Linked DNA regions of Sus scrofa. The protein of the gene in region 3 interacts with the protein of the main gene of each other region in a pairwise test. Links are inferred from orthologs where the notes say so. Each region holds a gene or a part of one and is shown on either strand. Other genes may lie near its edges.

Region 1 (9,568 bases), on a different chromosome or scaffold from region 3:
TTCCAGGACCTTGGTGGATGCTCAGTCCCTTACAGTTGGCTGTCCCTATCTCTGGTTCTGCACCCATGGATGGGAGTGGGGGTGGGGTGACTGTTTATTGAAAAAATCTGCATGTAAGTGGATATGCACAGTTTAACCCCATGTTGTTCAGGGGTCAGCTGTATAATCTTCTTTTCCTTTGTAGGTTTCTGAACGCCTGAAAGTGGTGGATGTAATAGGCACCAAAGTGTACAACGATGGAGAACAAATCATTGCTCAGGTATAATACTGTTTATGGAATTCAGTTGAGAGTTATTTTCCGAAAGGCTCTTAGACATTTTAAGGCTTGCTAAATGCTTCGTGTGTGTGTGTATAATTAGTATGTAGTGATTGATTAAATGAATATTACTTCTACCAAATGATTTGTTAAAAAATGGTTTAATTTACAGCCATTAAGCTATTTGAATATTTGTATTTTTGTAATTAACTCTTAATGAATATGTATTAAATCATCAAATGGATTTCTGCATCATTTTATATTTGTACCTGACATGAAAGCCACGTGTATATAAAGAATAAAAAGTCATTTATAAGAGGAAGAAAATGGTAATCGTTCCATGAGTTTTATTAATAAGGACTCAGAGGGTGCACTGGAAGATAGAGAGTTTTTGCACCATCCGTTCAGTCTCCTGGGGCTGCTCCCTGATAAAATTAACCAGGAAGGGAACTCGCTGCACCATATTTTGTACCGACTTCCAGGCACTAAATGGGACCAGCATCCTGTCCAACCCCTAATGCTTTTCTAAGATCCCAGTTGGAACCAGCAGCCATACATATGTACCTTGGTTAGAATAGAGCTGCCAAGAAACAGGATTTATGAGGACAGTTGAAGTTCACAGATAAAGCATACCAGTGGTAATACTTTTTGTAGTTACATTTTTGAAGCATTGAGGGAATGATTTAAACAGATTTTTAACCAGTTGTGTGATTTTTATATTGTGATATTATACTGGATTATAATCTTTATTTAAAATACTGTCTCTTGATGTATGTGAAACAAGACATAAGGTCTGTGAGGCTAAGAAAAGAATAATTACTGTAGAAGGCAGATAAGCCAGTAACTGAATGAGTGCCCCCTGCCCCTCCATACATAGGGATTAGCACCTTCAGGGATCTGGATGACACAGATCCAATTAGAGAACAAGGCCAAATTTCTGCGATAGAAATGGAAAAATTGTAAAGTAGACTTTCGAAATGATTTTTTCAAATAACTGAAATAACTACAGATTCACAGGAAGTTGAAAAAAGAGAAGTCCCACTCACCCTTCCCCCAGTATCTGCCAGTGCGTCTTTGTGTCACTAGTACAGCGTCAGACTAGAAAACTGACCTTGACACAGCCCCCAGAACTTAATTCGCTAGTTTCGCTTGCATTTCGAGCACATTTTGAAAACAAAATTTACTTGCAAATTAAAATGAAGCTCTTAGGAAAACCTGATACAGAAATGTAAGGGAGAGGTTATAGGTCCACTAAGAGTTTATTAAAGGTATCTTTATTTATTTATTTATTTTTTAAAAAAGGTATCTTTATTTGTTTTATTTTAATGATTTTTATTTTTTCCATTATAGCTGGTTTACATTGTTCTGTCAGTTTTCTACTGTACAGGTATCTTTAGGCATTAGTTGCCTTTTAAGCATTTATAAATAGACGTGTGGGCACTACACTATAATCTAGACTCAGCATTTATTTTTGCGATGTAATCTGATACCACATTTCTTTAACTGTATTAAAGAATTTTTGCTTTTGTTTTTTTGTTTTTTTTTTTTTACAGGGAAGGTTGAATTTATTCTTTAGTAAATGTGATACAGAGCATATAAAAACTTAAATATAATTCTAAATCTTATTTTAACATTCAAAGACTATATTTTTGTATTTCTTCCTGCACTGTACCGCTAATAGCTAAACATACTGAAATTGTTCTACAAGTGTTTATTTCTTGCTAATTAAAAGTGCATCAGTCCATTCATTTTCTCCTATGGGTTCTCACAGTTTTCAACTATTTTTTGATCTGTTCGAATTACTGAACTGTACTAAAGAATTTTGAAATGCCTGAGTTTCTCCAGAAATCACTTTGAAAGGCTCAGAAGAGTCTGTTTTCTTTCGTATTAATACAGTTTAATTCAGAAGGCATCACTGTAGGTCATGCCATTTGTTCAAAGCAAGAGAACAGGGCTCTGTTGTCAGACATGGCAACTCCTTCTTTTAGAAGTTTTTCTGGGGCCTTGGGGTGGATTGTGGGTAAACTGGCTTCTGCAGTTTGGTCCCCTGTGCTGCAAACCCACATACTGCTTCCTAGGAAGTCTGCCTGCTTTCTCAACTCTTTGGCAGCAGCTGGTTTATCTGAGCTCGCCACGGCCGAGGCGTGTTAGATTAGGATGGCACAGGGGCACCTTTTAGCGCTTCTTGAGCAGCAGCGCAGGAGCCGCCCACGGAGGAGATGCCACCAGGGAAGGGGACTGCCGTTTCTGATGCCGTACGTGCCTTTTTGCAGGCTGCACTTTGGGCGAAATTTTTACCACAGGGTTATTTGCCATATTGTCTTGGCTAATTGTTAGCAGAACTGCTATGGTAGAGAGTATATCATTTCAAATCATTTTACGAATGAAATCGTTATGATATAATATTCTGTCGTAACGATTTAGAAGGGGTACACCTGTTCCCGTGGGTTTCACCTTTCAGGCAGATCATCTGTACTTTGGGGTCAGATTGATTTCAGGGGGATGATGGGCGGCAGGATTGCTGTCAACTAGATTTGCATTTTCACCCCCTGTTTTTGCTTTATTCTGATAGGGAGATTTGGCTGATTCTTTTTTCATTGTAGAATCTGGAGAAGTCAAAATTACCATGAAAAGGAAGGTAAGTGTCCATTACGTTCTAAGAAATCCACATACTATTAGCAAGAAAGAGGATATTCTTTCTGATGTTGAGACTCAGGTGAAGTTTTATTTTTCTTAAGCCAAGTAAACGTTAAGACTTTCAATTATCCCATCAGGGGAAGTCAGAAGTGGAGGAGAACGGTGCCGTGGAAATTGCTCGGTGTTCCCGGGGACAGTACTTCGGAGAACTTGCCCTGGTAACGAACAAACCCCGAGCGGCTTCCGCACACGCCATCGGAACCGTCAAATGTTTAGGTAGGATGCTCGGCCACCAGCCTGCTTCCCCTGGTTGAAATTGTTCTGTCTGCATTGTACATATGCACACTGCATGGATTCTTTTACTGGGTTCACGGGTTTTATGGTCCCTGTAAAATACAAGGCTAAGATTCATCCCATTAGAGAATCAGTTTGTGGAAGCCACTTTTCTTTAAAAATTTCCACAGCCTAGGGAGTTCCCCTCATGGCACAGTGGAAATGAATCCAACTAGTATCCATGAGGATGCAGATTCAATCCCTGGCCTTGCTCAGTGGGTCAGTAATCCCTCATTGCGGTGAGCTGTGGTGTAGGTCACCGATGCAATTCAGATTGCCTGTTGCTGTGTCTGTGCTGTAGGCCAGCAGCTGTAGCTCCAATTGGACCCCTAGCCTGGGAATCTCCATAGGCCTCCAGTGCCGCCGTAAAAAAAAGAAAGCAAAAAAAATTTTTTTCGCAGCCTATCTCGTGTTCTTTTATATAGGCATGAAATAACACCTTATTTTAGTATGTCATTGAGTACCAAATTTTATATCTAACCTTTCAAATAAATAACCTGCACTGTGTTCCTCAAAAAAGAAGCCTTGAGAGTTCCCATTGTGGCTCAGTGATTAATGAATCCGACTAGGAACCGTGAGGTTGCAGGTTTGATCCCTGGCCTTGCTCAGTGGGTTAAGGATCCTGCATTGTCGTGAGCTATGGTGTAGGTCGCAGACACAGCTTGGATCCCATGTTGCTGTGGCTCTGGCATAGGCCGGCGGCTGGCTACAGCTCCGATTCTACCCCTAGCCTGGGAACCTCCATACACCATGGGTGCGGCTCAAGAAATGGCAAAAAGACAAAAAAAAAAAAAAAAGCCTCAAACAGTATATTTATGAAGTATTGTAAGCTCTACAGGGAAAGTTGGAATTTCCCTAGCATACTTCTCGTCCTAGTACTACAGAACAAAGGTTCAAGTTTGTCAGAGCCAATAAAATCTTGGTTAGCTGTTTATTACATCCGTGTACCACATATTAGCTTGGCAGAAATGCCATCTTCAGCCAAAAGACATCTGTTTATAGCTGAGATTTTATATATGAGAAATAACTTATTTTAATACTGAAAAAAAAATGACAGTTCCCTTGTGGCGCATTAAGGATCCAGCGTTGTCACTGCAGCGGCTCAGGTCCTTACTGTGGTACAGGTTCCATCCCCGGCCTGGGAATGTCCACATGTCCTGGGCACGGCCAAAAATAATTTTTTTGAAATTAATAATGAAAAAGATAATTCAGAAGATATCAATCTAGATGATATTTTCTTTAAGAAAACTCATTCAAAAGTAATTAGCCACTCTGTGCTCTTTATTCACAGTCCCATAGAATAAATTGAGCTTTCAGTGTTCTTACGACTTGCAAGTATCCTCACAGTTTTCCTAGAAAAGTTGCTTTTTAAAACGTTTGAAGTATAATATTAATCAAGTGTTATACGTGGATGAAAAAAAGAAGACAGTTAGAAGCTGAGAGGTAGTTTCCCTGAGGAGAAGTATTAGACAGCAGGAATAAAGGGGATGTGAGTGAAGTCCCAGTAATTTTTTTCTATAATAAATTATTATAGTCACATTAAATTTGAGAAATACTGAAAAGATAGGAAAAACTGTCACCAATACCACCCCCACCCCTCAGTGGTTTCCACATTCCTGTTGTAACTCCTTCTCATCTTTTTTTATTTGTATGGGTTTTCTGTCCTAAGGAGTTTTGTAAACTGCTTTTTTCATTCATTATTGCTTACGCATTTTCTCCTATTTATTACATCAAATTGTAAGATTAGGTAAATATATGCAAATTTTGAATCACTCTCCACTGTTAAATATTTTGGGTGTTTTGGCTCTATTGGGGGGATGAGATAGTTTTTTGGCATTTGTTTGTTTGGCTGAGGCACGCAGCAGCTTGATAGGGGCTCTCGATTCCCAGACCTGGGATTGAACCTGGGCTACAGCAATGCAAGTGCTGAATCCTAACCACCAGATCACCAGGAAACTCCCAGGAGAGGGCTTTTTTGTGTGAGTGTATGCATAGACCCCTTTTCCATGAATAGGATTTTTCCTGAGAAATGGTTTTTGGAAGTGGGTTTTCTCTTACAGTTTTTGATACATATTGCCAGATCACTTTTATTTGTACTTATTTACATGCTACCAGCGGTGCAAGAATGTCCATTCACTCTGTTCTTGTAAACATTGCCTTTTCTCCTTCTGCAAATTTGAAAGGCAAAAGAAAAAGTATTTTAATTTGTATTTCTATGATAGTATGATCGTATTTTCATGTGTATATTATAAATTCAGTTTAAAAAATGCTTGAGCCAAGTGAGCTAAGCAACATAGAGCACATATCTATAGAACTGGATAAAATCATTATTTTGGCTATTTTGAATTGCCTAGACCATAGTGTAAAAAAGTAAAAATTATAAAAGATTAGTAACATTTGGTCTTCACAACATCGGATTGTAAACCCTGAAGAGGGAAAATAGGACAGAAAACACTCCCTTGCCACCTTGAAGGAGTTCATATTAATTACTAAGGTTAGTGACATCAAAACTATTTTATTTTTAAAATTCTGAGGCCTTGGAGTTCCCATTGTGGCGCAGTGGTTAACAAATCCGACTAGGAACCACGGGGTTGCGGGTTCGATCCCTGGCCTTGCTCAGTGGGTTAAGGATCCTGCATTGCCGTGAGCTGTGGTGTAGGTTGCAGACGCGGCTCGGATCCCGAGTTGCTGTGGCTCTGGCGTAGGCCGGTAGCAACAGCTCCGATTGGACCCCTAGCCTGGGAACCTCCATATGCCGCGAGAGCAGCCCTAGAAAAGCAAAAAGACAAAAATAAGTAAGTAAGTAAGTAGGTAAAAATAAAATTCTGAGGCCTTGCTGTAACAGTCCCTCCTTCATTCTTTTAACCTGGACCAGGAACCACCCACCAAGCTAGAATTGCACAACTTATTGCCAAAGGACACTGGCAGCTTCCTTTTTGAAGTGGAATGTTTTTGTCTTTATGCACACTCTTGTATTTAATATGTATCTAAAAATGCCATTGCATCATTGACATATGCAGAATAGGTACCATTAATGACTAAGAAATTCTGCAGATTTGCAAAGAACATTTTTTTTCTTTTTCTTCTCCCTTCTTCTTAGCCATGGATGTGCAAGCATTTGAAAGGCTTTTGGGACCTTGCATGGAAATTATGAAAAGGAACATCGCTACCTATGAAGAACAATTAGTTGCCCTATTTGGAACAAACATGGATATTGTTGAACCCACTGCATGAAGCAAAAGTATGGAGCAAAAAGACCTATAGTGACACAGTTACACAGTAGTGGTTAGTCCACTGAGAATGTGTTTGTGTAGATGCCAAGCATTTTCTGTGATTTCAGGTTTTTTCCTTTTTTTACATTGACAATGTATCGGTAAACAGAGTAGTGATTTAATAGTCAGTAGACTTTAACATCACTTTCTAAAAGAGTAGATCAAAAAAATATCAACATACTGATAAAATGACTTTCTACTACTCCACACAATTATGATTTGACTGAAAGGTTTATTCAATAATTGTAATATATTGAAAGTATCTGTGTTTAAGAATGCAATTAAAGGATGTTATCATAGGCAATGTGTGTTCATTTTGACTTACTTGGATTGATAGGTTATGACTACGCCCATGTAAGAGAGAACTTGGCAGTGAATCATGCTATACAGCATGGCATTACATTCTTTTTACAACTCACTGTATGTAGTAAGTACAATTTAATCATTTTTGTTTTAGAGTTTTCCTGGCTTGATAAGTTATACCCCGGCCTTGGCCTATTGGTGAAATGGTATAAAACATCATATGCAATTTTAAAACCTTTTATATTTTTGCAATAAAGTACATTTTGACTTCTTTGGCATAACGTCAGTAATCTACATATTCCAGTGGTTTTAAGGACAGGCAGTTTAGTCATGATAATAGCGAAGAGTCTTTTTAGATGAGAGGTCGTTATTTTCCTCATATACCTGCTTCCTTTTTTCATTTTGCCATTCTCTGTATTCGTTATCTTTAAAAATTTGAGTTTGCCATTTAATGTGACCAGTATTTTAAAATGCTCTTTAAATTTACTTATCTTCTAAAAGCCTAAGATCTTATTACATATGATGAGAAAAATGTCTCCTATAGCAAAAATATTTGGGGTCCTTATCAACATGCCTACATGATATTTCTGGGTTCTCCGCTAAGCGTACATAATACATTCCTTTGCAGACTCCCATGCAAACTCCCATGGGTTTCCAAGGTGGGAGAAATAAATGTTTGTAAGCAAAACAAAGATAAATGGAATAAAGATAAATGGAATTTCTCCCCATTCCGAATACACTATTAGGCCTTGCCATTTGCGCTAATGTAGACTCTCAGAAATGCAGAGTGAACCCAAATGCATAGGTTTTTGTTGACAATTGATATGTTTAATTATTCTGCTACATCAAATGAATGTAATGACATTCAGCCAAATCAGTATACTCTTATGTGATTTCTAGGCCTACATGACCCCAGTGTCGAATGAGATTATTTCTAATCCGTTGTTCACTTTTAAATGAGCAATTTCACTTTGGGAATCTTTTCAAAGAAATATCTACATGAGTAAAAATATTCTGTGGCTAGTGTGGTCTTATGAGAGAATGTTTATGGTCTTGCTTGTGTAATGAAGACGTGGTTAAAATATGTTAAAATGGATAATGTCTATATAAGAAGCATATAAAGTATACCTTCGGGCCACATTTTAGAACACTTCAACAATTTTCCAAACTTTCCCATTACCTGGAAGTAGGAAGAGAGCCTACTAGGTGAAGAGGACTTGTTTTCTATTTCAGGTTTTAAAAGCCATGTCTGCTAAACAAGAAAAAAACTCAAAGAACCCCATGTTCCTAGTTCATTATTCTGTATTCTTAACTTTATTCACTTTTTCAAGTTACCTATTTTGTTGCATAAGCTGATTGTTAATTACAAATGCCTGTTTAATAAAGAACTCTGACCAAGACTGTAAATGCCAGTTACATTATTTTCAGTATTGTTGGTTATATTTAAATTTTCCTTATAATAAAGCACACTTTTATAATAAAATTTTTAATGAGGTGGGGTTTTTTTTTGTTTTTTTTTTGTTTTGTTTTGGCTTACTTCCATAAAGCACACTATACATGTGAAAAGCATGACAGAGATATGGCATATGTGAAAGCTAGGCCCCGGGCATCATGCAGCAAGGAAGTATGGCTCTGTAGGACAGTAGGTTTTTGAAAATCTTAACTCTGGGCCATGTGTGATATAAATAGCTGTGGTATGTTGCAAATTAATTTGGCCATTCAGAATAACCAAATAAATCTGGTTAACTAGGGAATTTACGTGTTCAGTAATTAAAACACCTCAAGTTTGAGTTGTGGACTTCATTGTTTAATCACCAACCAAGAGTCCTTACTATTTGGAAATTCTCTGTTGATGGTTCATTCCAGGATGTGTGACTAAGAATTCTGGGAAGACAGTCTTTCAACACCAAGGTGCTTCCCTTTGTTTTATATAAATGCATACAGAATGAGAGAGAGAGAGCGTGTGTGTGTGTGTGTGTGTGTGTGTGTGTGTGTGTGTGTGTGTCCCCTTCTTATCAATAAGAACTAGAGCTTGATGTGTATATATTAACATAAACACTAACGGTGATGCACATTGTGTGAATATATTTGGTTTATTGTTATAAACCTTGGCTAGCTAGGAAACTATTTAAAATGCTTAAAAAGTCTGCAAGTGGGGTTCCCATGGTGACTCAGTGTTAAAAACCCAACTTAGCGTCTGTGAGGATGCAGGTTCGACCTCTGGTCTGGCTCAGTGGGTTAAGGATCCAGCATTGCCACAAACTGCAGTGTAGATCACAGATGTGGCTCAGATCCAATGTTGCTGCTGTGGCATAGGCCTCAGCTGCAGCTCTGATTTGACCCCTAACCTGTCAGTTTGCATATGCCTGCTGCAAGTGCAGCCATGAAAAGAAAAATCCTTCAAGTGAAACACAGGGCACGAAGCAAAGAACTCAGATTTTATTGAAATATGTAGGATTAAGCATGGAGTCTTTTTCCTTTTTAAAGCATGTTTAAAATATGGATGTAATTTTTCTAACTTTTAAAAGAAATGTCACATTAATAGCAAGTACTAGATGGCCTTCGGCATTCTTAAAGAAAATTAAGAATGTATAAGCCTAGTGTGGTAAGTAATACATCTGGATAAGCTGTGTTATCCAGCTTCAATAGCTGAAAAAGGGGTTCTCCTAAGTAAAATGTTAATACCTAGAGCAGAAACAGAGATAGTAACACACACAGGAGAAAAAGGATTATTAATACAGAGAGAAACCGAATGACAAGGAATACC
Region 2 (10,591 bases), on a different chromosome or scaffold from region 3:
GTCAAAGGTAAAGGACGGGACAGGTTGTTATAACCTCAGCCTATTGGAAGCAATAGTGACATGATTTCTGCTGTAAGATCATAGCATCTTTACCCATAGTTCTCTCCCCACAGTTCTTTTGAGAGGAAAACCCCCATGCCCTTTCTAACCTCTTCATGGGTCCATTCTCATCTCTTTAACCTCATGTAACTCAGTGTTTAATGGGTAGGGATTTTTATCCCCAATTTCAGATGTAGAAGCCAAAGCTCAGACAGGGTAAACTGACCTATCAAGATCATTGGCAAGTTGATAATAAGAGTGTGGGTAACGGAATACTGTGTGGCTGTCCACAGGCCTGAAGAAAGTCTTACGATGCTATCAGAGGTTGTCCTTGGACTGCTTGACCCAAGCTCCAAGAGGCCTGCTGTACTGGATGGTCAAAGCCCAGGCAACTGTCATATGAGTTAGGCCAGGGATGGCACACAGTCCCAACAGGCACTGGGAAAGTCCCATGGACAAATGCTCCTTGAGGGCTCCTCCTTTCTTTGCTCCAGACGGCATGTAGGCCTGTGGCTTTCCAGCCAGGCTCTCCTTTGCTTCCCAGGTTCTGTTTCTTCCCAGATATTTCAGAGGTAGACCCTATGTTCACTGCAGAGACACACTTTCAAGGGGGTGGCTTGCAGGTGCAGAAATAGGCAGCCTGTGAATTAACTGCTCCCTTGAGCATGGACACTTATTTAAAAAAAAAAAAAAAAAAAGACCAAAGGCAGTGGTCTCATGGAGGTGGGATTCTGGAGTCTGAAGGACAGCTTGGGTGAGGGCAGAAGAACCATAGCCCTTTCCCTATCCTTCCTGTCCACTAGAGACTCATCAGTACTTGTAAGGCAAAGGAGAAACTGCTATCGGTAGATACTAAATATGCTGGGAGGACTGGACCTGGGGGCTGGCATGTAGAGTTCATCAGGTGATCAACAGTTCCCAAGAGATGGATAGAGGACTGGAGTGGAGTAGAAAAATGGCCCCTTTGGGCAGAGATGGGGGAGGTGTTTCAGCTAGGGCTGAGTCCCCCACAATAGGTCAGAGGTCAGAGGGCGTCAGAGGGCCAAAAGTATATAAACAAGGAGATATGGGCCAAGAGCAGGCTGTCCTCCAGGGAAGTCTAGGGGAGTTTGGCCTTCTACCTTCTGCCTAGAAAGGGGGGGGGGGACTTTTTAAATAATAAATCTGTCAACAGTACAGGAAAACCACTGTTGCATTGGAAATAGCAGTTGGTACCCTACCCATGTTCATTTTCACCAGACTCACCACTGTTGGGCTGAACATATGCCCCACCTGTGTTACTCAGCATACATAGTTGTAAACACTTTTGAGAACTGGCCCCATTGTGTCCATGTCTGCCTGAGATTGGTGGTGTGGCAGTCTGTGCAAGATGAAGACTCGTTGGATAGTGAGTAGGACTGGGTTGGAGTTGAGCACCCATCAGGACTCTAGGATCTCCTTTTCTCTACCATGGTCTATGTATTTCTTTTGCTTTCTAGGATCTCTGCTTTTGACCTTTTCCACCCACCATCATTTGGTGCTGGCAACTGTTTCCCAGTTACTGGCTGCATGTGGGTTCAGTTGCCATGGTAACCCCCCAGTGGTGCAGCTGGACAGGCTTGAATGAAGGTCAGGCTTGAATGAAGGTCTTCCTAGAAGGGTAAGCATTCGGGATTTGAGGCTCAGGCCCCTTGAATTCTCTCTTGCTCCAGGGCCCTATTCTTTTGCCAGGTCAACTGGATATTCATGAAGGCCTTTGGGATTCACCTTGCTATTATTGGAGGTTTTCCCAGAAAGGGCAGATCTCCGCTCTGGGGACCAGATGCAAGGAGAGGGGAGTCAGGTTAGGCCTAGAGGCTGGCTGTCCATCCTCACTGAGGCTGGTCTGTGGAGACAGGTGAGGAGCAGCTATGAAGTTCCTACTTTCTGTGGCCCCCATTTCCTCCAGGTTCAAGGATGCCTTTGAATGCCATGTTTGCTCGATGGATAGAATGGCTATGCATTGGGGCATCTGAAGACAAGCCAGGGACCAGTCTCCTTCTGGCAGAAGCTGACAGAGTTTCCTTGGAGTGACTGGGAGAACCTGCCCACAGCCAGCTCTGTTGTCAGTCCTGGAGTAGCCTCTTCTGACTCTATTTTGAAATTGAAGTGAGAGTCCTAACTGTAGAGGTGCCTGTCCCTCTTTAAAAAATAAAAGACCTGACAAATGGGCTATGACTGGAGTTGTGAATTTGCCTTTCCAAAGGGTTAGTGGTATGATTGCTTGAAGTGAGTCAGATCCCCAGGTGTGGCAGTGCAATGGAAGTCCCATTTAGGATTCCTGGGAATGGTCTGACTCCTGGAAAGCTTGAAAAAGGGTCGGTCTGTTCACAAGGAGAGAAGAGTTGAACACTGCTCCTCCGCCCCTCATTGCCCGTCCTTAATGAAGTATTAATATATGTGTGTGTGTATTTTTTTGCTTTTTAGGGCCGCACCTGTGGCATATGGAAGCTCCCAGGCTAGGGGTTGAATTGGAACCACAGCTGCCAGCCTATGCCACAACCACAGCAACTCAGGATCCGAGCTGTGTCTGCCACCTACACCACAGCTCACAGCAATGCCAGATCCTTAACCTACTGAGTGAAGCCAGGAATCAAACCCGAAACCTCATGGTTACTAGTCAGATTTGTTTCCACTGCACCACAAGAACTCTGAAGTTTTTGTGTTCTGAGATCAGAAGCACAGCTTTTTTTTTTTTTTTTTTTTGTCTTTTTCAGGGCCACACCTATGGCATATGGAGGCTCCCAGGTCAGGGGTCTAATCGGAGCTACAGCTGCTGGCCTATGCCAGAGCCACAGCAACGCCAGATCCGAGCTGCTTCTGGGCCTACACCACAGCTCACGGCAACGCTGGATCCTTAACCCACCCAGCAAGGCCAGGGATCGAACCCATGACCTCATGGTTCCTAGGATTCATTTCTGCTGTGCCACGACAGAACTCCAGAAGCACAGCTATGATGCAAAGGATCTTAGTTCTGAGACTGAGGTCAAGAGAGCAGTTTCATTGGCTCTTCTTTCTGTACAGAAATTTATCATTCATTTACTTTTTCATCATTAATTCAGTAAATCTGCCCCAAGAGTGTGCAGTAAGGACCCAGTAGGGAACAAGCTTATACTATCCCTTCCTTCACAAATTTTTTTTTTAAGTATTCTTTTTTTTTTTTTAATTTTTGTTGTTGTTGTTGTTGCTATTTCTTGGGCCGCTCCCGCGGCATATGGAGATTCCCAGGCTAGGGGTCCAATCGGAGCTGTAGCCGCCAACCTACGCCAGAGCCACAGCAACTCGGGATCCGAGCCACGTCTGCAACCTACACCACAGCTCACGGCAACGCCGGATCCTTAACCCACTGAGCAACGGCAGGGACCGAACCCGCAATCTCATGGTTCCTAGTCGGATTCGTTAACCACTGCGCCATGACGGGAACTCCCCTTCTTTCACAAATTTGACAGTCCAGGACGCTTTCCAGCAGTCAAGAAACTTATCCAGGGAGATACCACTGTTTGGAATCACAGGCCTGCCTGGCCTAGAGCTGGGTAGCATCTATACCAGTGGGGGCTGGATGTTCCTGCTTCTTGAAGCTCAGTTCCCAGCAGCACTGAGCTCCTGGGTGTGTGCCAAGCTAATATGAGAGATCCTAGTGAGGATTTTAATTAATGCTGGGTAATTACCAGGTGGAGCGTAACCATCCCAAATGCCTTTCAGATTCCCAGGGCTACATCTAGTCACTTTCTGCCTGGGCCCAGCAAAGAGAGGGAGGATTCTATCCTATGCCCTCTGAGTCTTTGGTCAGCACTTATGCTGTATGGACATCCCAGAAAAGTTTCTACCTTTTCCTGTTCCCCTCCAATTTGGTGTGCATGAAGGGGCAACTTGGGAAATAGCATGGCTTCTCCAGTTTCACCTATGCCCTCTCCCCAGGGGCAAAGGATATCTGTGCCTTGTGGTCTGCTCAACACCATTAAAGTACTGCTGGCCCAGGGTGGAATATAGGGATAGAAGAGATATCCAGACCTAGTCCTGGGAATCCTGATTGTATTGCTCAAGAGGAGAAAAAGGCACAGTGGTCATTCCTGCTCTGGGACTTTCTCTTTCTCTCTTGCTCTCTCTGATTTTTGTTGTTGTTGTTGTTCTACCCAGTTTTGTGGAGGGTTTCTTGCCCTTTTTTGGAGGCTTAAGTTCTTCTGCCAGTGTTCAATAGATGTTCTGTGCGAATTGTTCTATGTGTAGTTTTGTTTTTTTGATGCGTGTGCCACTTCCAAGTTGAGCTCTGCGGTCCTGCAAGCCGTAGAGCACATGGAGTGGGAGTTGTCAAAAAACAACTTTCTTTTGTGGGAGAAGGTGAGGGAGACATCTTAACTCCTCTGCCATCTCGATCCTTCTCTCCTGCTCTGGGTCTTATTCCCTTTTCTCAAGGAACATGTTTGACCTTCTGAGCTCTTCCAGGCTTATTTATCTGCCTTTGGCTCCAAAATTACTATATCACTGAAACTCCTCCTATCTACAAGGTCTTCTCCCTTTGACATCTCACAGTCTTCCTGCCAAGACTTCTGAGGGGCCTATGGTCATGCCACTATTCCACCCTGAGGTCTGGGTGGTTCTGACTTTACCAGGTCTTTGCACTTACTGCCCTCTAGGCCACATGGCTTTTCTTCAGATGCTCCTATGGCCAGATCCTGCCCAGGCCTCTGAGCCAGCTTAAATGCCATCCCCTAATGTGGGCCCTCTTGCTCTGCACTATAGCTGGAACCACTCTGAGGTGGTAATGTGCATTTTTACGTTGACTCTCGGTTATGTCCCTGGCACTTAGTAAGGGCTAGCAAACGGGAGGATCCTAGGGTGTGTTGAAAGTAGAAATTAAAAATAAGCGGCGCCAATGGACCCGCTTAACGGGAAAACCATTAATTGCTGCGCCTTGCGGAGAGACTGCCCGGCAGGCCCGGTGGGCTATTGGCGCACGCGCACTGAGGGCCAGAGCGCTGGCGGGAGCGCGCACGCCCGCGGCAGCGTGCGTCACAACCCGGGCTCCTGCCCCGCCCGTCCCGCTTGCCCGCCTGTCGGTACCCGCGGCTACGGCGGCGGCTGCCCAGTGACAGCGGCGGCGGTACCAGGCCGGCCGGAGTAGCGTAGGGTGGCGTGACCCGGAAACGCACACCCGGCCAAAGGGCGACCTGGCGCGAGGGGGGCCCAGCCCAGGTCGCGCGTGAGGAGACCTCGCGGGTGCCGGGCGGGAGGCCGGCGTGAGGGAGCGCCCAGACAGTGGCTGCCGGCGGCCGGGTCCTGCCTGTCCTCGCGGCCGCCGCCGGCATGAGCCACATCCAGATCCCGCCTGGGCTCACGGAGCTGCTGCAGGGCTACACCGTGGAGGTGCTGCGGCGGCAGCCACCCGACCTGGTCGACTTCGCGGTGGACTACTTCACCCGCCTGCGCGAGGCCCGCTCCCGAGCCTCCACCCCACCCGCCGCCCCTCCTTCCGGCTCCCAGGATCTAGAGCCCAGCTCTGGCCTTGTCACCGACGCGATCGCGGACAGCGAGTCGGAGGACGACGAGGACTTGGACGGTAGGAGGCAGGCTGGGCCAGGGGTCGCGGTGGGGGGGTCGAAGGAGCAGTGGCGGGTCGGGTAGGGGTCTCTAGGAGTTCCAGAGGGGGCTTCGGGGGCTAGGCCTGCAACCCTGGGCCCGGGACCTTGAAGCTCTCGAGCGGAGTTTGTCTGGGTTCCCGAACGGCGGGCTTGATCCCCGCGTGTGCCACTTCCAAATTGAGCTCGGCAGTCCTGCGAGCCGTAGAGCGCACGGAGTGGGAGTTGTCAGATTCAGCTCAAGAGAAACGTGCGCGCTTTCGGCCCGCATGCTGGCGCGGGGCCGGAGGGGCGTGGAGCCCACGGCTGCTTGGCCTCTGCTGGAGACCCTTCGCCCACTTTCGTTCCGAAGACAAGAACATTCACATCCACTGACTCATATTTCATAGCCAGGAAGGTAACTTTGTCTGGAAAGAATTCATTTTGTGAAGTTATTGTGAAAAACTTCGAGCATATACAAAAATAGAGAGAAAATGTGAAATGAACCCCCTATATGCCATCACCCCCATTACACAGTTGAAAGATCTGTCACAGATGTTTCAGCTGTATTTTTTTTTTCCTCTTTGCTGAAGTATTTTAAAGCAAATTCCAGCATTTCACCCTTGGTCCTTGAGTATGCATTTCTTAAAGTACGGATCCTGGAAAGAAAAAAAACCCTATATATATAATATCTATCTATCTATATATATATATATATACACACACACACATAATAATATAATAATAATTTATATATATATATAAATTTGGCTAAGATAATTGGATCAAATAAATTTGATGAGGGTAAACAATAACTTTTTTTAGCATACGGGTTGCAGGAAAGAGAACAGTAACACTTTCTATATATATTTAAGCAGGGTTGTCAGAAAGCAATTCCATTTTCCTTGGTTGCTTCAACATAGGCTTTGTCAACTTAACAATAGAATTACCCTACTTTTGAACAGCCAGATTTTTTGAACTCATTTTAAAAAATTAAATTATAGGAGTTCCCGTTGTGGCGCAGTGGACAAATCTGACTAGGAACCATGAGGTTGCAGGTTTGATCCCTGGCCTTGCTCAGTGGGTTAAGGATCTGGTGTTGCCCTGAGCTGTGGTGTAGCTTGCAGACTCGACTTGGATCCCACGTTGCTGTGGCTCTGGTGTAGGCCAGTGGCTACAGCTCCGATTAGACCCCTAGCCTGGGAACCTCCACATGCCACAGGAGCGGCCCTAGAAAAGGCAAAAAGACAAAAAAAAAAAAAATTAATTATAGTTGATTTACAATGTGTCAATTTCTGCTGCACAGCAAAGTGACTCAGTCATACACACACACACACACACACACATATATACACACATATATATGTATATATATACACACACACACACACATTCTTTTAATATTATTTTCCACCATGGTCTGTCCTAGACTGGATATAGTTCTCTGTGCTATACATAGGACTTTATTGTCTACCCATTCTAAATGTAATAGCTGGCATCTATTAACCCCACACTCCCAGCCCATTCCACTCCCTTCTCCCTCCCCTAGACAGTCAGAAGTCTGTTCTCCATGTGTGTGAGTCTTGGACAGCCAGAATTTAACAAAAAAGTGAAAACATTTGCAGGACAGAGTTAGAGACTTAGTGTTGCTAGATCATATTGGAGAAAAAAAACCCCAACAACCTAGTTCTGAATTGAATCCATATTCAAGTCAGACTGGCAGGGAGTTAATTATTGGTCATTGCTGTTAGAGGTTGTAAGCTTCAGTTTCTGGACAGCTTTCCTAAGTTTATTCATACCAAGTGTGGAAATTGCTTTTCTGGGTTTCCCCTGACTTAATACACATTAAATTATGGGTTTTTCACCTTGAACCTGGAAATCAGAAATTATTTTCCAACTCTGCCACCAGATCTCTGCCACAGAAGTGTTTGGTGGCCCAAGACAAAGCTGCGGAACCTGTTTGATTTTAAATTCACTTATCTTTAAAATAGGTACAGTGACAACAACTTCCTAGGGATAAATTGGTTTTTTATTTGTTTTTGCTTTTTGGCTACATTTGTGGCATGTGGAGGTTCCCAGGCCAGGGATTGAACCCGTGCCACAGTTGTGACTTGCACCATAAATGTGTGGCAAAACTGGATCCTTAACCTGATACACCACAAGGGAATTTCTGGGATAAATATGTTTTTAAAAGCTTTGTTTCAGGAGTGAATCCTACATTTGTTTCACTGTCATAACTATACAACACAAAGCTATAATCTGCTTTGTGACAATTTTTATTTACACAGAACAAATATTCTGTTAGTCCCGGATGAGTAAAACAGAGTTTACAAGTTTTGTGTTATATCTTCATTCTGTGTCATCTTTAATTAATCTTTTTCAAAATTGAGTTGGCTTAAATCTTTGTAACTGTGCTTTATTTTATTGGTATATAAATATTCTTTTGTTTATATCTCTTAAGTTGCTGTACTAAATATAATTATAGAAATCAACACAGAGTGAACTTCTATTTACAGATAATAGACTAAAAATACACTGCACACAGTGGAATACTAGTTCACACCCATGAGGATGGCTATTATGAAAAAAAAAAACACAACTAGAAAATAGCAAGTGTTGTTAAGGATATAGAGAAGTTGGAACCCTTGCTCATTGCTGGTGGGAATGTAAAATGGTTTGGCTGCTGTGAAAAACTGTTTGGCAGTTCCTCAAAAAGTTAAACATAGAATTACCTACCATGTGATTGAGCAGTTCCATGGCTATGTATATACCCAGAAGAATTGAAAGCAGGAGTTCCCGTCGTGGTGCAGAGGAAACGAATCTGACTAAGAACCATGAGGTTTCAGGTTCGATCCCTGGCTTTGCTTAGTGAGCTAAGGATCCTTGCCATGAGCTGTGGTGTGGGCTGAAGATGCGGCTCAGATCTGATGTTGCTGTGGCTGTGGCTGTGGCTGGCAGCTGTAGTTCTGATTGGACCCCTGGCCTGAGAACCTCCATGTGCTGCAGGTATGGCCCTAAAAAGCAAAAAAAAAAAAAAAAAAAAAAAAAAAGAATTGAAGGCAGGGAATCAAACAGATACTTATATGCCAGTATTCATTGTAGCATATTCACAAAAGGCAGAAACATCTCAAGTATTCCATTGAACAGATGAGTGGATAAATATGGTGTAGAGGTGTATACAAAATGTGGTATATACATATAACGGAGCACTATTCATCCTTAAAAAGTAATGAAATTCTGACACAACATGGATGAGCCCTGACAATATTATGCTAGTGCAATATGCTAGACACAAAGGGACAAATGTTGTATGATTCTTTTAGTTGAGGTACCTAGAATAGGCAAACTTATAGAGACTGAAGGCAGAATAGAGGTTACCAGGGACTGGGAAAGTGGATATGGGGGAGTTACTGTTTAATGGGAACAGAGTTTCTATTTGGGATGATGAAAAAGTTCTGAAATTGGATAGAGTTGATAGTTATACAACATTGTGCAATGTAGATTATGAATGTACTTAATGCCATGAATTGTACACTTACATGGTTAGAATGGGTAAATTTTATGTTGTGTATTTTACCACAAATTTTAAAAAGACAGGAAAAGAAATGCATTGCATATCCAGTGATTACAAACATTAAGATAATAAATCCACAGTGTCTAAAATAAGAAATAGGATATGTAGTGTTAGAACTGTATATATCAAAGAGACTTTGTTTTGTAAGATCCTGAATGTCTAACCCCCAGTTCAGTTTATCAAACAGTATGCTATTATAAATACTCAAAAAACTTAGCTAGTTTTTAACAGTTTGTTAATTACAGTTTTGATATCAAGCAGCATACCAAGAGAGTTCCCGTTGTGGCACAGCAGAAACAAATCTGACTGGAAACCATGAGGTTCCAGGTTTGATCCCTGGCCTCATTCAGTGGGTTAAGGATCCGGTGTTGCTGTGAGCTGTGGTGTAGGTCACAGACACGGCTTGGATCCTGTGTTGCTGTGGCTCTGGTGTAGGTAGGCAGCGGTAGCTCCGATTCAACCCCTAGCCTGGGAACCTCTACATGCCGAGAGTGCGGCCCTAAAAAGACAAAAGATGAAACCCCCCCAAAAAAACAGCATACCAAGTATGAAGTATTATAGTGTTTATTTAGTTCTTAGGAAAGCCTGAAGAGTTCAGACTTATTAATACACTTGTCTAACTGCATCCTTATAAGAGCAATAAATAGGCATCTAAACTTGATTCACTTCTGTAATGACCACAAAACATTTATACTTGTGGGTCTCACAGCATTTTTTTGGGTAACAGCTTTATGGAGACATACTCCATGTAACCATATAATTTACCCATTTAAGTATATAATTCACTAGTTTTAGTATATTTATTTACAGATATATAAAACCATCATCACAATAAATTTAAAACATTTTCATCACCCCAAAAAGGCCCCCACACTTTAGCCATTGCCTGCTGACACTCTCATTCCCCTCAGTTCTAGGCAACTAACTGATTTACTTTCTATCTCTATGGATTTGCCTATCCTGGCCATTTAATATAAATGGAATTATAAAATAAGTGGTCTTTTGCTTCTTTAACTTACCATAATATTTTCAAAGTTCATCAATGTTGTAGCATATATTAGTGCTTCATTCCTTTTTTTTTTTTTTTTTCTTTTTGGCCACAGTTCCCAGGCCAGGGGTTGAACCCACAGCACAGCAGCACCCTGAGCTACTGCAGTGACAATGCTGATCCTTAACCCACTGCACCACAACTCCCTTCATTCCCTTTTTTTTTTTAGCTGCTTGGCAGCATATGGAGTTCCTGGGCCAAGGACTGAATCCAAGCCAGAGTTGTGACCTATGCCACAGCTACAGAATGACAGATCCTTAATCCAGTGCGCTGGGCTGGGGGTTGAACCCACATCCCTGCCACTGCAGAGACACTGTTGATCCTGTTGCACCACAGTGGAAATTCCTTATTCCTTTT
Region 3 (10,080 bases):
CCTACAGAAGTCTGAGAGGGCCAAACACCATCGTGCATTGGCAGTTGTATGGATGCCCAAGAGGGTCCTGCCAAGGCAGTTTTTCCTTTAGCCCAGCTGAGCTTAGAGAAGCTTGAGGGTTCTTTTCTGGCCCTCCACTTCACCCACTGGCCCCCAGGGTGGGTCTCTCTTCCTGCCACCACCCCAAAACTCCCTGGCCCCCCCTACAGGCAGGGGTCTGGGTAATGGGCAGCCAAGCTGGTGCAGCAGGTCTCATGAGCCTTCCCAGCCACCGTAGTTGTCCTGGTGCCCTGTGAGGAAGACTGAGTGATGGCTTCCAACCCCAAGGATGGTGAGGCTGAGCCCTGTTGCTATAGCAACTTCTCAAGCACTCTCTGACCCTCAAGTCAGGGAAGGATAGCAGTAGGATTTAGGGAACAGATAGAGAGGAAGTCTGTGGACCCTTGGCTGGCCCTGGAAATCCTCCTTTAGTAACAACTCTGGGCTGGGGTGCTTGGGGGAGAGTAGGGGGGATGGGTGGTTCAGTTCAGACAAGAGGGGATGATCTACTGGAGTGGGGGTCCAGTTTACACCCAGGCAGTAGGGTGGTCCAGCTCAGTGTCATGGTTCAGCTCAGAATGGGGTTTGGTCCGCTCAGTGATAAGAGTCTGGTTCGTAATGGACAATGGTCCAGTACAGAATGGGGGTCCATCGGACTGGAGGTTGGCCCAGTCCAGTGTTGGGGTCCAGCTGAGATTAGGGCACGGTCCAGCCCAGAGCTGCACCAGAATTCACCCTGGGGTAAATTCCTCCCCCGTCAACCAGGTTTTGGGGAGCAGAGGGTCCTGAGATTGTTATCTGAGGGGTCTGAGGCTGGGCTCCTGGCTCTAGCTGGGGCCCTGGCTTTTTGGGAGACGTTCTCTCTGAGAGCCCAAATCAAATCCGGGCTGGGGTGGAGGTTGGCACCCCTTCTGTGGGAGACATGGGCAGTCCAAAGCCAGCAGAAGGCTGGGTTTCCCTTCTCTGCTACTTCCTGTTGTCAGCAGTGGCCACGGGTGCTGGGCACTCTTGGGAGAAGCTGCCACCGACCCTCCACTTCTTTGGGGATCTGGAAAGAAGGAGGAAGATGGTCAAGGCTGCCTCCCCCTCCCCCACCCTTGGGTTTAACGTTTCGTTTCCGGTTTGGACTTTCATGGCTGAGAGCAAAGCCAAGCACAGGGCAAGGTTTGACAGAGGCCAAGGACATCCCAGGATGCCATTCCCCTCTCCGCCCCTGCACCAGAGCAAGACAAAGCCAGAATTTCTCCCTGGAAGTGGCAGAATTTGGGGGCTCCAGGTTCAAAGAGCCCTTGAGGGAGGAGATAGGGTGGCTCTCATCGCCCCCCTTCCCACCCCTGCCTCTCTCTCCAGCTGCTCTTTCAGCTAATTAACGGAGCTCTGGGGCCTCTTTGGCCCCCAGGGAGGCCCTGGCTGCTTCCCTGGACCTGAGCTTTAACTCCTTCCCCTCTGCCCAGTGGGCACTGCCCTGGGCACATTGGGTGCCATCCTCTGGGTAGACCAGCACCCCCTGGGAACAGCAGGGCCTGGCAGCCTGGAAACAGCGAAGTCCCTGGAACAGGAAGTCAGCTGTAGCACCCCGCCCCCAGAGCAGGCAGGCCAGCCAGGAGGGACACCCTCAGGAGGATCTTCCCACCGCCTCCTGCCAAGGAGGGCCTTTACAAACCTTGGCCAGCCGGGAGCAGGTACCTTTAAATGCTTCCCTGGCAACCAGCTCCTCCTCCCCTGTCCCCCGAGGCTCTCCTGAGGAAGCCAGCTCAGAGGCTCTGCGTATTCCTGGTTTCCCTGCAAAGGGAAGGTTCCAGGGAGAGCTCAGGGCAGTCCTGGGATGGATCTGGGGTCAGGCAGAAGCTGCAGTTGGGAGGACTCGGAGACCACCTTCCAGCTGTGGCTGCAGCTGCTTCTCTGGGGCCACCTGATTGTCCGTTTCCTGAGCTACCTGCGCCATACCCTCTGGGCACCTAAGCCACAGCCAGCACCCTGAGCCTCCCTGGCCAGGAGCAGATGGGCCCCAGATCACCCCATCCCATTCCACCACCCCCCTCCCACTGTACCCTCTGCTGGGAGGGGCAGGAAGCAGAGGTGAGTATGGGGGCTCTGGGCTGGGGTTCCCCCATCATTATCCCTCTTTATCTGCCCACTTTCCGGGTACTGCCACACCCTGTGCCCCATCCCCAGATCTGGAAAGCTGATGGCACCAGAGAGAACACAGCCTGGGCCTTTCCATACTTTGAAAGGCCAGACCAGGGGTGTTTAGGGTCAAGGCACCCTGTAGAGCCTCTTAGTGGGGTACCAGCAACAGAGGCACAGACACACCAGGTCTGGGGTGGGGGGTGCGGAGTGAAGCAGGATGCGGCTGTACTCAGGGACAGCTGGAAGCAGAAGGGGAAGCAGGACCAGGCTTCCTCCTGGATTCCTACCAAACCCACCCCTCTCTGCCTCCGAGGGCAGGTGACAGTAGGGTCCCAAGAGGGACGTTCACTCCCACCTTCATCCAGAATTCAACGTGGATGTTTGGCGTTTTCCAAGGAAGTTGTTGTGTGTCCAAAAAAATGGTGCCTTGTGGCGTTAAAGATCCAGCATTGCCACTGCAGAGGCTCAGGTTGCAGCTGTGGTGCAGGTTCAGTCCTGGGCCCAGGAACTTCCACATGCCACAAGTATGGCCAAAAAAAAAAAAAAGGATTCTACTGGCAAAAGCACTGGATGTGGTGGTGTAGTCCCCAAGCTCAGAGAGGTCTTAAGACAGTTGGTGGCCCACTCAGGCACCAGCCTAGGACTCTTGGCCATTTCTTGACTCTGCCCAGTCATTCTTTGTAGGGCTTTCCTGACCAACAGTCTCTCCTCCATCTGCCACCCTTGGAGCCTCAGGGAAGGTTCTTCTCCTTCAATGCTGAGGGGGAGCGTTGGGGACAGTGGAGAGGTGGCTACCCACAAGGCTGGGTGGGATTCCTGGCACTGCATATAGGTGACAGGCAAGGTCAAAGTACAAGTGTGCAGGATTCCTCAGGATGGTAACTTCCCCAGAACATCAGGGTTGAGGACAGCTCCGTCCATGGGCCACCCTGGTAACCTGGGACCAGTCAGAAGCCAAGCAGTTAATCTCGTGGGCAGAGGGGTCCAGGAAGTGATCTGAGACCAGTCTTCTCATCTATCCAATGAGAGTAATAGCTCTGAGCCATCAGGGTAGGAGTGAAGCATAGAAGCACTAAGCACAGAGATGGCACACAGGGAGGGTCCCTGAGTAACAGCATGCCTGACCCCAGGTGGTGGTTACAAGGGCAAGTCCCTAACCTGAGAATCCTTCAGACTGCACATTTAAGATGTGAGCCCTCAATGTTTGGCCTGGATTTTATGCCTCCATTCAAAAAATACTTAAGGAGTTCCTTTTGTGGCGCAGTGGAAACGAATCCAACTAGGAACCATGAGGTTGCGGGTTCGATCCCTGGCCTCACTCAGTGGGTTAAGGATCTGGCGTTGCTGTGAGCTGTGATTTAGGTCACAGACATGGCTCAGATCCTGTGTAGTTGCAGCTGTGGTATAGGCTGGCAGCTGTAGCTCTGATTTGACCCCTAGCCTAGGAACCTCCATATGCCAAGGGTGCAGCCCTAAAAAGCAAAAAAAAAAAAAAACTTAAAAGAGGAGTCCCCACCGTGGCTCAGTGGTTAACGAACCCAACTAGCATCCATGAGGATGCAGGTTCGATCCCTGGCCTCACTCATTGGTTCAAGGATCCAGCATTTCCGTGAGCTGTGGTGTAGGTCGCAGACGTGGCTCAGATCCCGAGTTGCTGTGGCTCTGGCATAGGCCAGCGGCTACAGCTCCAATTGGACCCCTAGCCTGGGAATCTCCATATGCTGCCACCCTAAAAAGACAAAAAAAGAAATACTTAAAATTAATAGCTAAGTTTTTGAAAATGCTCTTGAAGTATAGTTCATTTACAACGTGTTAATTTCTGCTGTACAGCAGTGGTTCAATTAAACGTATACATACTTTTTCATATTCTTTTGCATTATGGTTTATCACAGGATATTGAATATAGTTCCCTGTGCTCTACACTAGCACCTTGTTGTTTATCCATCCTATATATAATTGTTCGCATCTGGGAGTTCCTATTGTGGCTCAACAGGTTAAGAACCAGACTAGTATCCATGAGGATGCCAGTTTGATCCCTGGCCCCACTCAGTGGGTTAACATTTGGTGTTACCACAAGCTTCGGTGCAGGTTGCAGATGCGTCTCAGATCTGGCATTGCTGTAGCCATGGTGTAGGCCCGCAGCTGCGGCTCCAATTCAATCCCTAGCCTGGAACTTCCATACTTCTGTGGGTACAGACCTAAAAAGGAAAAAAAAAAAAAAAAAAAGATAGCTTGCATCTGAATGGCTGACATTTATATGGCACTAACTCTGTGCTGGCCACCATCCGAACCCCCTTTGCCAAAATTAACTCATTCAGTCCTCATAACCACCCTGCCAGGTCATTAGTGTTATCATTCCCATTTTACAGAGGAAAACTGAGGCCCAGAAGTGAGGTCATTTGCCTAAGGCCACACAGCTCATCGGGGACTAGGCCAGGATCTGAACTTGATCTTATCCCAGAGTCCTGGCCTTAACTACTTTGTCAGGCCACCTCTGCATTGGCCGGAATGCCTCTTTCAGGTCTCAGTTTACTAGGGTGATAAATGGGGAGAATGGCTAAAAGGAAAGTTGGCAAGTGAACCAAATGAGTCAGTGGACACAAAGCAGCAAGCCCAGGGTCCGCCAAGATGTCTTCAATGCTAGCTGAATGGTGATGTTTGCCTTGGGGTGCAGAGGGGCCTGTAGGGGGTGGGCATCAGGCGAGGCTTCCCTTGAACCAGCTCTGGAATGAGGGCCCCTCTGTTGGCAAAGGCGAGAATGGGGCCAGCTGGGGGCCAAGGCAACAGCTGAACCCCCCCCCAAGGGTGCCTGCTACCCGAGCCCCAGAGGCCTCCACCCCAGGCCTGGCCTCCTCAGAGAAGGGGCCAGAGGAGCAGCCAAATCCGAGGCTATAAATACCACGGCTGGCGTCGTCCCTGGCCGTGGAATGTCAGTCAGAACTGGGGCAAGTGGGGGTGGGCTGGCCTGGGCGCCGCTCTCTGTCCCCCTGAGAGTGACCCCTCGAGTCACCCTGTCTTCCGTTTTGGACAGAATTGAGGCTGGATCCCAGCTCTCTGTAGTATAGAGGACCCAGGCCCCAGCCCAGATCAGGGCCCCCGCCGCCCGCCCGCCCCAAGTTACCCTCAGTTTCAGCCAGGGCACCGGAAGGCACTGGAAGAAGGTCAAGCTCTGGGTTGAGACAATTGCACCCCACTTTCCACAAAGCAGCGCCTCCCCAGGACTAGCCCGGACCCACACTAACAAGATGGGGTCTCTCTCTCTCACCTTTCTTCCTTTCAGTGAAAGAGTTCTTAGCCAAAGCCAAAGAAGATTTTCTTAAAAAATGGGAAAATCCTGCTCAGGTAAGCCCCCTGGGAGGGCTGACATGATGGCCCCTTGATACCCAACTGCATCCCTGGCATGACTGGGATTTCTAGGGCCCTAAGGAGGGCTCCAGACCTGCCCTCATTCACTCCTGAGATGCCCACGGAGGCTCCTGGGCAAAGGCACCTGATCACCCACTGCCAGGCTCCCCCACCCACCACCCTCTTCCAACTGGCGGCCCCTGCCCCCCAGGCAGCTGCCAGCAGCTCCTGGGCCCCAGGCCAGGGCCGGATCTGGCCCCTGCCACCAGCCTTAAGGAATGCGCCCTCTGCCATCTTGTTTTTCCGCCCCCTGTCCTCACCCTCCTGACTCCACCTGGTCCCCAGGGCCCCCTCTGCTGGTGGCACAAGGGATGCCCCAAATTTCAGGCTGCAGGGTAGGTTGAGGGTGGGAGGGGTTGTTCTCTGACCCCCCCAGACCCCTCCGCCCACAGAATACAGCCCATTTGGATCAATTTGAACGAATCAAGACCCTCGGCACGGGCTCCTTCGGGCGGGTGATGCTGGTGAAGCACAAGGAGACTGGGAACCACTTTGCCATGAAGATCCTCGACAAACAGAAGGTGAGCCCAGCCCTGCCACAAGGCCCTGGTCCGACCCACTAGGGCTTTGCCTGGGCTGTTCCCACCACCTGCAGCGCTCTTCCCACCCATCTGCTCACCAGCTATTTCCTGAACCTCCAAAATGTGCCAAATCCAAGGGCAGGAAAGGGTACCACGCTCCTTCAGGAAGCTTCCCCTCCTGGGTAGCCACTGATGCAAATTTAGGCATTAGACCTGGGGTCAGACACCTCGCCTGTATGGAGGAAGTCAGGAGGAAGTGATGTTTACACAGACCTTCTTTCTGTAAATATTTTTGAGACCCTGCTTTTTGCCAGGCACTGCTCTAGAGCAGCACCATCCAGGAGAAATATCACACAAGCCACATACGGTTTTAGATTTTCTAGGAGTTTCCTGGTGGCTCAGCGGGTTAAGAATCTGGCATTGTCGCTGTTGTGGCTTGAGTTGCTATGGTGGTGCAGATTCGATCCCTGGCCTGGGAACTTCTGCACACCACCAGCACAGCCAAAAATAAATAAAGTAAATAAGTTTTCTAGAATCCTAATTAAAATTTTTTTTAAAAAAACAGGTAGAATTCATTTTAACCACGTGTTGTAATTAAGTCAGTATGTCTACAATATTATCATTTCAGCTAATGTAACTAGTGTAGAAATATCATTCATGAGATGTCTTACATTTTTCTTCCACACTAAGTCTTATAAATCCAGTGTGTATTTTACACTTATGTCTCCATTCAGATGTTAATTTTCACTGGAAAGACAAGAAAAAGTGGAGAAGTTGAAAAAGCAGACTCACACAGGGAGTTCCCATCGTGGCTCAGTCGTTAACAAATCCAACTAGGAACCATGAGGTTGCGGGTTCGATCCCTGGCCTTGCTCAGTGGGTTAAGGATCCAGCATTGCCGTGAGCTGTGGTGTAGGTCGCAGACGCGGCTCAGATCCCGTGTTGCTGTGGCTCTGGCATAGACTGGGCTGCTGCAGCTCCGATTCGACCCCTAGCCTGGGAACCTCCATCTGCCGTGGGAACGGCCCAAGAAATGGCAAAAAAGACAAAAAAAAAAAAACCAAAAAACAGACTTACACAGCCCAAATTGTTCCAAACAGGCTTGAAAGTTGTCTGGTGCCTGCACTGAGTATCAGTTTTTAAATTTTAGACACTTCAAATTTTAAACTCAGTTCCACGTTTCAGCCAGCCACATTTCAGCAGACGAGTGGCTAGTGTGGACTCTACTGGACAGTGCAAGTGTAGACCCAAAGGCTGCAGCTGTGAGCAAAGCAGAAGAAAGCCCCAGTGCAGTGGTTTAGCGCTGACCAAAGGGCTAGGCTGCCTGCTTGTGACAGGCGGGCCTGACACTGACTAGCTACACTTGACCTTGGGCAAGTCACTTACTCTCTCTGCATCCAAACTAGCATGCTCTCGGGGCGTACCCCTCCAGGCTCCTGTCACAGCGTGTGAGGCACCTCCTGGGGACAGCTGAGGCCAAGGAGGAACTACCCCAGGTTTTAGGTGGATGTGGTGGGGGGTGGGGGGGTGCTCTAGATGCAGGAAAGGTATTTCTAATCCCTCCACCCCTTGAGTGTTCCTCCTGCCTGTCCAGTTTCAGCTCAGCTGCCCTTTCCTCCAGGAAGCCTTCTCTGATGCCCCCCCTTCCCACAGACTTCACTGGGCACCTTACCTGGGCATCCACAGGCCCTGAGCTTCCCCCACCACAGCTCTGACCCCTGTGACCTGGTGACTGAATGTGTTCTTGCTCTGAACTGCATGCCATGTGGGACAGGCTCCCAGCCCAGGGCTTGACAGGCCCCAGGCACTCAAATGATTCTGGATGAAGGCAGGGGCCCAGCCCTGGCACCCCTGTTTTGGGGCAGCAGGGAAGACGAAGACCCTCTCACACCCCTTCCTCTCCACCCTCCCCTCCTCCCACCACAGGTGGTGAAGCTGAAACAGATTGAGCACACCCTGAATGAAAAGCGCATCCTGCAAGCAGTCAACTTCCCGTTCCTTGTCAAACTCGAGTTCTCCTTCAAGGTGAGGTCCCAGCGGCCGCCACCCAGGGCCACTGTGGGTGGTGCAGCCTCTCGGTTCCCAGAACTGAGGCTGGGCCAGCAACAACCAGTAGCTGCCCAAGAAGGCAGGCCCACTGATGGGGGAGAAGGAGACCCAGGGTTAGGGGTCAAGTCAGCTTAGGGCTCTGACAGACCCAAGTTCAACCAGGCCTGACAACTTCTAGCTTGATAACCTTGGGCAAGTCACCCAACCTCAGTAACATTCCTCAAACTCATCACTCCATTTACAGGAAGAACCTGACACACGGCCATAAAATGTGCCACTCAGCCTAGGTTCAAATCCATGTACTTCCTGGCCGTGTGACCCTGGCGAGGAATGCCCCTGAGCCTTTGTTTCTTCATCTGTAAAATGGGGATCATAGCAGTTTCTACATGGTGGGGTTGCCATGACAGTTCCAAGCACATCATCAAATCGCCCAAGCCCTGTGTGAGCCATCTGGGGTGCTGACGTAAGTGGTGACTGCAAGAGCTGGAAAGGTCACTCAGCTTAGGTCACTCACCCCAGCAGTCATGAAGACCCCACACTTAGTTTAAGGCACTGCTGCCACTGTCTTGAGATTCATAATTAATTTTTTAACAAGGGGCTTCATACTTTTATTGTGGAGAGGGGGTGCCCAGAAATTCTGTAGTCCATCCTGGTCCCATTTGACAGATGATAAAACTGTGGCCCCAAGAGCCTCGCCGAAGATAGTCACAGACATGAACCACTACAGGGTTCTCTCTGCAGCCCGGGCATGCTGGCCAGGTCCCTTATGTACCTCTAGCCAGCCCTTATTACTTTTAGCCCCAATAAGCAGGATACTGGCAATCCCTTCTTTCTTCCAGGCAGTAGGAAATGAGACAGGAGTTCTCTGGTGGCTCAGCAGGTTAAGGATCCAGTGTCATCACTGCTGGGGCACGGGTTTGGTTCCTGGCCTGGGAACTTCTGCATGCCCGTAGACACAGCCAAAAAAAAGGGGGCGGGGAGGAAATGAGACAGGTAATCAGTGAGCACAGCGCCCAGCACTTAGTACGTGCTTCTCGTGGGAGCCAAGATTGTTGTCATTTTATTTCTGAACATCCGCCAGATCAGGGTGGCAGGCCTTCAGATGGGGCCCATGGCTTGGGGAATGGGGCTCTGATCAGCTGCTGCTTCCCGCAGGACAACTCAAATTTATACATGGTCATGGAATATGTGCCTGGTGGGGAGATGTTCTCACACCTGCGGAGGATCGGGAGGTTCAGGTGAGCCAGCCACCCCCTGCCACACTGGGCCTGGGGCTGTCCATGGGCGTCATCTATGGAAGTGGCCTCTCCAGGTTCCTATGGGTTCTTGCCTCTCCCTGAGCTGAGGAATCTCTGATGTCTCAACTACCACGAAATAAAACAAGCATAGTGACTTAGGTGTCTCCATGTGAGTGGGCGAGTTTATATTGTTTTTAAATTTATCCTGTCGTTTCATTTTATTTCTTTTTTGTTTGTTTGTTTGTTTGTTTTTTAGGTCCACACCTGAAGCATATGGAAATTCCCAGGCTAGGGGTCCAATTGGAGCCATAGCCACCACCCACAACACCACCAGATCCGAGCCACGTCTGCGACCTACGCCACAGGTCACAACAACACTGGATCCTTAACCCACTGAGTGAGGCCAGGGATCGAACCTGCATCCTCACAGATACTACTCAGATTTGTTACTAGTCAGATTCGTTACTGCTGAGCCACAGCGGGAACTCCTCATTGTATTTCTTTATACAGATACTCACTTTACACACAAGAAAATGCACAGGTTTTCAATGATCTGTCCCGTGAGTTTTGACAGCTACATGCACTTATGTAACCACTACCCCAAGAAATTCCCTCAAATACTTTTCTTGGCAAATCGCTGCCCCAACAAAGGCAAATGTCCTTTCTGGCTGTAAGCACCGTAAATGTGTTTGGTCCAA

The links.
Region 1: the proteins of PRKACA (region 3) and PRKAR2B interact in binary tests that used the Homo sapiens proteins (3 or more experiments, as listed by UniProt). The link is inferred for Sus scrofa from reciprocal best matches to the Homo sapiens genes PRKACA and PRKAR2B.
Region 2: the proteins of PRKACA (region 3) and PRKAR2A interact in a protein complementation assay, tested with the Homo sapiens proteins (2 studies listed by BioGRID). The link is inferred for Sus scrofa from reciprocal best matches to the Homo sapiens genes PRKACA and PRKAR2A.

The regions. Positions count from the first base shown.
Region 1 is NC_010451.4:106,949,236-106,958,803, forward strand, and holds the end of PRKAR2B (cAMP-dependent protein kinase type II-beta regulatory subunit), read left to right. Parts: intron 1-184; coding exon 185-259; intron 260-2,828; coding exon 2,829-2,894; intron 2,895-3,030; coding exon 3,031-3,169; intron 3,170-6,326; coding exon 6,327-6,460; 3' UTR 6,461-8,284; downstream 8,285-9,568. UniProt on the Homo sapiens protein: Regulatory subunit of the cAMP-dependent protein kinases involved in cAMP signaling in cells. Type II regulatory chains mediate membrane association by binding to anchoring proteins, including the MAP2 kinase.
Region 2 is NC_010455.5:31,511,775-31,522,365, reverse strand, and holds the start of PRKAR2A (cAMP-dependent protein kinase type II-alpha regulatory subunit), read left to right. Parts: upstream 1-5,360; 5' UTR 5,361-5,361; coding exon 5,362-5,614; intron 5,615-10,591. UniProt on the Homo sapiens protein: Regulatory subunit of the cAMP-dependent protein kinases involved in cAMP signaling in cells. Type II regulatory chains mediate membrane association by binding to anchoring proteins, including the MAP2 kinase.
Region 3 is NC_010444.4:65,078,481-65,088,560, forward strand, and holds part of PRKACA (cAMP-dependent protein kinase catalytic subunit alpha), read left to right. Parts: intron 1-294; exon of another isoform or gene 295-309; coding exon of another isoform or gene 310-331; intron 332-5,449; coding exon 5,450-5,511; intron 5,512-5,966; coding exon 5,967-6,095; intron 6,096-8,021; coding exon 8,022-8,120; intron 8,121-9,299; coding exon 9,300-9,382; intron 9,383-10,080.